Tribolium castaneum: one gene and its partner. The protein of the gene in region 1 binds, or shares a complex with, the protein of each later gene. Links are inferred from orthologs where the notes say so. Each region holds a gene or a part of one and is shown on either strand. Other genes may lie near its edges. The genes, in order: nito and Mettl3.

Evidence for each region.
Region 2: nito (region 1) and Mettl3 share a complex: the UniProt entries of both Drosophila melanogaster proteins name them as parts of the WMM complex. The link is inferred for Tribolium castaneum from reciprocal best matches to the Drosophila melanogaster genes nito and Mettl3.

Annotation. Positions count from the first base shown.
Region 1 is NC_087396.1:24,540,304-24,544,225, forward strand, and holds the start of nito (RNA-binding protein spenito), read left to right. Parts: upstream 1-1,336; 5' UTR 1,337-1,491; intron 1,492-1,542; 5' UTR 1,543-1,554; coding exon 1,555-3,687; coding exon of another isoform or gene 3,688-3,708; exon of another isoform or gene 3,709-3,858; coding exon 3,859-3,885; 3' UTR 3,886-3,922. Other genes in the region: uncharacterized protein LOC663498, read right to left, coding at 11-49. UniProt on the Drosophila melanogaster protein: RNA-binding protein that acts as an associated component of the WMM complex, a complex that mediates N6-methyladenosine (m6A) methylation of mRNAs. M6a modification plays a role in the efficiency of mRNA splicing and is required for sex determination.
Region 2 is NC_087396.1:23,067,360-23,071,281, reverse strand, and holds Mettl3 (N6-adenosine-methyltransferase catalytic subunit), read right to left. Parts: upstream 2,593-3,922; coding exon 2,011-2,592; intron 1,964-2,010; coding exon 1,516-1,963; intron 1,064-1,515; coding exon 471-1,063; 3' UTR 267-470; downstream 1-266. Other genes in the region: PHAF1 protein CG7083, read right to left, coding at 152-215; protein bcn92, read left to right, coding at 2,716-2,792, 2,836-2,956, 3,006-3,074; Mat89Ba (nucleolar protein 6), read right to left, coding at 3,125-3,247, 3,292-3,922. UniProt on the Drosophila melanogaster protein: Catalytic component of the WMM complex, a complex that mediates N6-methyladenosine (m6A) methylation of mRNAs, a modification that plays a role in the efficiency of mRNA splicing and is required for sex determination.

The DNA of each region.
Region 1 (3,922 bases):
TATATCTTACCAGTGTTATGATCAAAACGAGTAAACTTTTCCCCTTCATTTTAACTCTCTCACAATCAAATGCCGCAAAAATCAAATACGAAATAATTAAAAAACAATAATTGCACAGTTTTATAGCTCTAGCGTAAGACGCTTTTAAAAACAATTTCATGCTTGATATTTTTAATGAAATTTTATTGCAGTTTCATTTTCTTGTTCATCAAATCTTCTTTTACACACATCTAAATGCAATAAACGGGTGTGTAAATGGCAAATATGACATGACGCATTAATTTTTATATTTAATGCTTGATTCAGCAATTGAAACATTTTATACAAAATATAAATAATTTCAGACAATCGCATTTATGGTTTGTATGAAATTTCTGTTTATAATTTTATTTGTTTGAACAGGTTTTATTAAAAATTAGCCACTTTTTTTCTTTCTGTGGTAATTAGATTTAGGTGCACTAGTTTTTCAGTAAATATCCGTGCACAAATAGGAAATTAACTTGAAAATTACTTGTTGTTCTTGACCAAATAAACCAAATAATTGAACGGCTTACAGGTATTTGATTTATTGCAAAAGTCGAGTCAAAATGCAAAATTTATTATGGATAACACCTTACTGCGGTAAAATAAAATGCTTAAGTAGGAATTACTTCAAGCGCTGAAAAAGTCAGTCTTATTTATCTGTATTTTTATAAATGTGGGATTTTTACCGACAAGTCAAATATCGTAAATTTTAATTAATCATCACTCTGATGCAGCTATTTTTTTTTGAAGAATGTTACAATTCCTCCAAATTTATTCATTAGAAAATAATCCTAATTAAACAACGAATTTTTTGTCAATATTTTAATTGAATTTAATCCGTATTTATATAATCATTCAGATTTGGATACTTTTAGTAGTCACGGAACAAGAATACTTGAAATAAGTTTGGGGTGTGAATAAAATTTGACTGCACTAAGTTAAATTAAAATTTATTTGTCTTGACGAATGCTGGTCTCATTAGGTTGCATAAAATTATACATTAATGAGAAAATAGTTTTTGTTTTAGTTATGTCTGTATGTTTTTTTAAATAATAATATAATTTATTCGGAACAATTTATTAGGCCAGGAAGAGTTATGTCTGAGTTCTCAATAATTTAAATTTTGCAATGTAGATAACCAATAATACAGCCTTGCATTTGGCATCTGTCCGACACTCTCAAATAATAATGTATAAAATTATAAAACTTAGATTTTCTACCAGAAACGTAGATTTAGTAGTAAGTACTATTGTAACTAGCAATTCGTTTAAATTGAAACTTGGCCACATTGAATAAACCGTTTCAACTTGACCGGACTTCGCCAATTCCATCCCACGCCTGCGTACCACCACTTTGCCTTGTCACATCCGCCATATTGTCCACCATTCGCTTCCATTTCTGTGATGCCCCAACGCAGCACTCATCCACCTCAGTAAATGGTGATAAAACTCATTATTGTGCCCCTAAGTAAGCCCCCACACCCACACACACACACCCCGCTGTAAGTTTCCATTGCAGGCGTTAGTGTTTATGCTCGCCTCCAGCCGAGACAAAATAACAGTCCGCATCCAAAACATGAAACGCAGCAGCGACCGCGACACGCCCCCACGCAGCAAACGCTCCCGTTCAAGCATGGGCCGGTACGACGACAGCTCCGACGAACGCCTAACCCCCGAACGCGTCCGCCGTCGTGGAAGCCGCAATCGCTCGCCCAGCCCCCGCCCCAGGTATGTCAGCCCGCATCGCGATGAATATCTGCGCCCCCCTGAACGCGCCTACCCTTACAAAGTGCTCTGCGTCAGCGCCCTACACCCCAAAGCCAGCGATGAAGTGATCAAAGACACGCTCTATCGAGAGTACAAAAAATACGGCGATCTGAGCATTAGACTATCGCATGATGTTGATGAACGCGTAGCTTATGTGTGCTTCCGGAATCCGGAGGATGCACGTGATGCCAAACACGGGAAACCCCGGATTATTATTTATGATAAAGTTGCGATTGTTGAACCTGTGTATGAAGTGCCCAGGTCAAGTGATATTTATAGGAGTCGCCCCAGGTCTATTACACCAGAGTATGATCGGCATTATTATGCTAGGTCACCTGAACGGTTAAGGGTTGATCGGTACGATAGGGCTTACGGGCCCCCGCCAGGGGTCCCAGTACATAGAGATTATCGCAGGGAGGCTTTACCTGCTCCTCATGAGTATTTGGCAAGGCCTCCGATTCATCACCCGGCACATTTAACCCCAAGTCATGGATACGGCCCCCCACGACATACGGTCCCAAGGCCCCCCTTTGAAAAAACAGAGAATAAAAAAGACAAGTTTCCGAATTATTTGCACCACATTCAACCAGAAGATGACCCGTTAGCGACTCGTACGTTATTTGCCGGTAATTTAGAAATTAATATCACAGAAGAAGAGTTGCGTCGCATTTTCGGTCGTTACGGTGTTGTTGAAGATATAGATATCAAGAGACCACCACCTGGCACAGGCAATGCCTTTGCTTTCGTTCGGTTTCACACCCTTGATATGGCCCACCGTGCTAAAGTCGAATTATCAGGTCAATACATCGGAAAGTTCCAGTGTAAAATTGGTTACGGGAAAGCAACCCCAACTACACGTATCTGGGTTGGGGGGCTTGGCCCTTGGACTTCAGTCCCCCAACTAGAACGTGAGTTTGATCGTTTTGGGGCTATCAAGAAAATCGATTACGTCAAGGGCGACAATCAAGCCTATATTCTGTACGACAGTATCGATGCAGCACAAGCGGCTGTGAAGGAAATGAGAGGAGCCCCACTTGGGGGGCCTGACCGTCGCCTCAGGACTGACTTTGCGGACGTGACACCGGGAGTCGTCTACCGACCTAAACCCCCCTATCCTGGACATGAAGACAGTCTCGATTACCGCCGCCTTGACTACGATTACGACTACGACGACTACGCCACCCGGGGGTACAGGGGTCGTGCTGCCTACCCCGAACGCCGCGCCGGCAGCCGGGGCCCTTACCGCTACCCCGAGACAACTGAAGATGAATGGGGGCGCTCACGCCCCGAATACGAACGCCGCCGTTCCGTTGACCGCTCCAGGTCCAGGTCACCGAGACGTTCCCCTGATTCGGATTCGGATAATGGGTCTCGTAGAGCTGGGTTGCTCGCATCTAGTCGGACTCTCCCCGAAGTGGCACGGAAGTGTACGACAGTGTGGCAAGGTGCTTTGATTTTGAAGAATTCGCTGTTTCCGGCCAAGTTTCATTTGATTGATGGCGATACGGATATTGTGGAAGGGTTGATGAAGGACGAGGATGGAAAACATCAGCTGAGGATTACGCAAAGGTTGAGGTTGGATCAGCCAAAGTTGGAGGATGTGCAAAGGAGAATTTCGGGGGCGAGTTCGCATGCGATTTTCTTGGGGTTGGCGGGGTCGACGGCGTCGGTCACGAATGATGATAGTACGGTGCAGACGAGGCCGTTGAGGAATTTGGTGTCGTATTTGAAGCAGAAGGAAGCAGCTGGGGTTATTTCGTTGTTGAATAAGGAGACGGAAGCGACAGGGGTTTTGTATTCGTTTCCGCCGTGTGCGTTTTCGACAGAGTTGCTTAAACGTACGTGTCCGAATCTGTCGGAGGAGGCGATCAAGGAGGATCATTTGGTTATTGTTGTGGTACGTGGTGGTACTGCTTAATTTTTATGACTGTATAGTCGTTGACTATACTGTATTATTATTTTGTTTTTTTTTACTTATTTTATGAGGTAGAGCTCATTTTTTTTACCCCCCTCCAGGTCTACACTGGCTAATTTTGTTGACAGTTTAAACAAATTGTACATTTTTCAGGAAATTGGTGATCAACAACGATGTTGATTGTGTTGATGATGATGATGATGCTTTATCATTTAAG
Region 2 (3,922 bases), about 1.5 Mb from region 1:
TCGAAATTACATTTTGAAGGTCGCCAACCAATTAGCGTTACGTAAAATGGGTCAAATTTCCATTCAGTGTTGGCCGTCACATCGCCCCATCGCAAAAACGATGTCAACCATGTTACGCGCAATAAAAATAATAGAGAAAAGGGAAACCCACCTACAATAAACTCCCACTGTTCACAGCCCAAAGAACGTTCAGGAACAACGTTGAGCGTCAGCATTTTCCGCAATCAATAAAAACCAGTCTTTAATCAACAATAATACACAACAAGCAACAAATCAAAACTGTTTATTCTTTTTCTCTTAAATCGAACGATCCTTTGTCTAAAAACTCGTAAAACTTCCAAGCGCCATCTTGTCAAACCTGACATCTGTCAAAATCAGCTGATGCCCCCCCAACTCCACGCGATTAAAGACACTAAACCACCAGTCAATAAGGCAAAAAGTCGCCACCACTCCACCAAAACATAAACAAATTAATGGGTCGTGTCACCGGGGGGCCCCATACAGTTCCCCGTGGGGTAGCGTTTCTTGAAATTCTCGATCAGTTCTGCGTCGACCAGCTTGATCCCGTCCACTTGGTTCCCCAAAGTGATCCAGTTGGGCTGGATGTTGTGGGGGCGCCCGAACAGCTCGATTTTGCGCGTCCCGGGCGAGAGTCGCTCGATCATTCCGTAGATTTCGTCCGGTTTGTGGCTCGTGGCGCGCACTTCGGCCACGATCACGTCCGAGTCTAGTCCCCGGTTGAGGTTCTGGGGGTTGCCCTTCATGCCCACGAGACAGTGCTCCTTGCCGTGGTTCAGCCAATGGCCGGTGCGCCCCGTCCTGATAATGCGCTGCAATTGGTTCGTCTTCACCCAGATTATTTCGTCAACGCGCTCGTAGCCCCACAATTGGAGGCACTCGCGGCCCAGCTCCATGGCACGGCCTGTCACCCACAGGAAAATCAGGCCCTCGTCTTGCAGCTGGGGGATCCCCAGCTGACGCATCTCGTCGTCGGACATGGTCCCATAGGGCAGCTCCATGTGGATGTCCCAGGGGGGGTCCGCCATTATCACGGCGAATTTTCCTAAATTCAACCATTAATATTTTCGGAAATGTCGGGGAAAAACAGTTATTTAAAAAAATCATCGTTCTCCGACAGTTTTCGAGATAATTGCAAAAAAAATAAAAAAAAATAAAATGAAAAAAATTCGTAACTTAAAAACTACTGGGTATTTGGCGATTTTCTCGTCACCAATCGATTCCCCGGATTATTTTACATTGATTTCCATCAAAATTGTTCCACTTTTTTGAATAGTTTTGCCATAATTGAGCTGAAAAATGAAGGTAGCCATTTCAAGAGGAATTTTTAATTCTACAACAAAAAAATTTATAACTCAAAAGCTAAAAGTCGTAGAGCAAAACGGTTTGTTCCAGTGAATTCTGGGCTCATTTGACGTATTATGGCAGCTTTTCACAAGATTTTAAATTTTGGAAGTCACGACCAAACGCAAATATTATTAAGACCGACAAACAAACCTAAGACAGTCATGTCGAGATAGCGCAGGTCGCACTGCACCCACTGCGGGGGGTACAAGGTAGTGCTTTCTTTTGGGGCCACTGAGACGGCGGTGGCGGCCGGGGCTACGCCCTCCGTTTGCCCACAGCGATCGACTTCATAGTGGACGTATTTACAAGTGTCCATGTGGAAACAAGTGTTAAGGAAGGAACAATCCCCTAAAGCTTCGTCAGTGTGTTTTTGTATGATTTTTTTAAAATGCAATTTTTTGCAGTCTGTGATTCCGTTTCGTTCGCAGTCGGCGCGAGTCCCATGGGGGCAAAACTCCATCAGTTGTTTGCCCCCTTGAGACCTGAAGCGCTCGGCCAGCGAACGCTCTTTGGCCGTTGGTTTACTCAACAGATCTAGAATTTCTTCGCCCAGTTTTTTACTCTCTTTTTCTTTCGTTGAGGGCATTGATAGTAAAGACTAGGGAAATTAATTAATTAAAAGGACAGAATCAATCAGTTAATTACCATGATGTCAGCTTTTGGTTCCTTCTTCTCTTTTTTCCTCTTCTCTTCGTCTTCGTTTTTCTCCGAGTCGTTTCGCTTCCGCTTCAGGGATTCCCTCACCCGTTCAGGCAAAAACTCCGCAATCATTGCGTTAACTTTAGTCACATCGATAAAAGTCACTTCGACCACGTTCTTCCCCTCTTTGACTAAATCCTTGATAGTGATCAACTTCTGAGTTGAGAATTTTTGCAACAAATTGCAAACTTCCTTATGTGAGGCATGTCGCTTCAAAGTCAATTTCAACGAATCGACCAATTCCGTCGAAGTTGTGGGGATCTGAAGAGTGACTTCGCTCAGCGCCTTCAACAACTCTTTCTCCAGCTCTGGGTCGATTTTCACCAAATCGATTTCACCCTCCTCTGGTCTTTTAACATCTTCGCCCCCAACACCACCCGCATGGGGGCTGTCGGACAGGTGCACAGGTGACGAGTTGAGACTCGAACCAAGGATGTCCTGCCGCTCCTTCTTGCGCTTTTCCAGGCGTTCGCGCAGGATGTTCCGCTTGCTTTTGATAGCTTGGATCTCTTCCCAAGCGTCCGACATTTCAAAAGACTATTTTCCGCCAAAAAAACACAACTAACACATGTTTGAGGTTACGGCTAACGCTAACTAACACAACCTCAACTCTTTGGTTATGTTCTTTCGGTTTCGTAAAATTGGGGCAAAATGAGTAAAAGACAGGCGTTGCAGTTGTATAAAGCTCTGATTCGCGAGTCGAAGAAGTTTCCGGCTTATAACTTCAGGTAAGGGCGTTTTTGCAAACGATTTTTTCATTGGGGGTTGTAGACACTATGCCTTAAGGAAGATAAGGGACAGTTTTCGGGAAAATAGACAATTGACTGACCAGGACGTGATTAGGCAAAAAATGGATGAAGGAGTTCGTAATTTAGATGTAATTAAAAGACAGGTATTCACAATTAATTCGTTTAGGGGTTAATTGACGTAATTATCTCCAGGTGGTCGTAAGTCAATTATATAGCACCGAAAAACTGGTTATTGAGCACGTGAGGGCCCAAAAAAACTAATTTGTAAGGTTTGTAATGGTTAGAAATAATAAGAGTAATTGTTTGATTTTTTATTTCTTCTTATCAATTGACTTGACTAAGCCTTTTCCCACAATATAAAAGTCTTCAATCAACGCATCCACGTTCAGCTCCAATTTTCCATTCACAAGTTTCCTCCCGCTTGCATAAGACACCTAAAAATAAATGTAATAAATCAAAAAACATCTAAAAATCTCACCTTGAAGTCTCGACTTTCCAAAGCTTTAGGTATCCACAAAACCCCGATAAAATTACCTCCGTACGTATCGTGGAAAAAATTGGCAAAATCGCCGTAATGTTTGCGCAGTTCGGCCAAATACAACTGAACTGGGTTAAAGCCAGTGACTGGAATTTTCGTGCTTTCGTTTCTGTTAAATTCCTCCAAAACAATTTGCCCCTCGGACTCGTCCCCAGTGACTTGTTCGTGTCGTACGGGGTTCAAAAGGGGGCGCAAGTGAATAATAACATCGTACCCCTCAAGATTCGGAATAAACAAGCTTTTAATTGAACCAAAACTCTCTCCTTTGATGATTTGCCCAAAACAATTCAAAGACTCACTTGCCAGTTGTTTGACCCTCCGCAAGACCAACTTCGAGGGCCCCCTTTTGGTAAAAACAGACTCACAGCCGTCGTACGGCATTGCGATAAATAAATCGGGCAAAGCCTCGCGATTTTGGAGGAGTTTCGAGTCGATTTCTGCAAGTGTCTCACTTGCAATCTCATTGTTGAAATTGACCACAACCGCCTGAATATCGCACTGAAGCTCGCTAACAAATTTCAAAAATCGCAAAAAGCCAACTTGGGGGGTCACCGAAGCCCCCTTGAGAAAC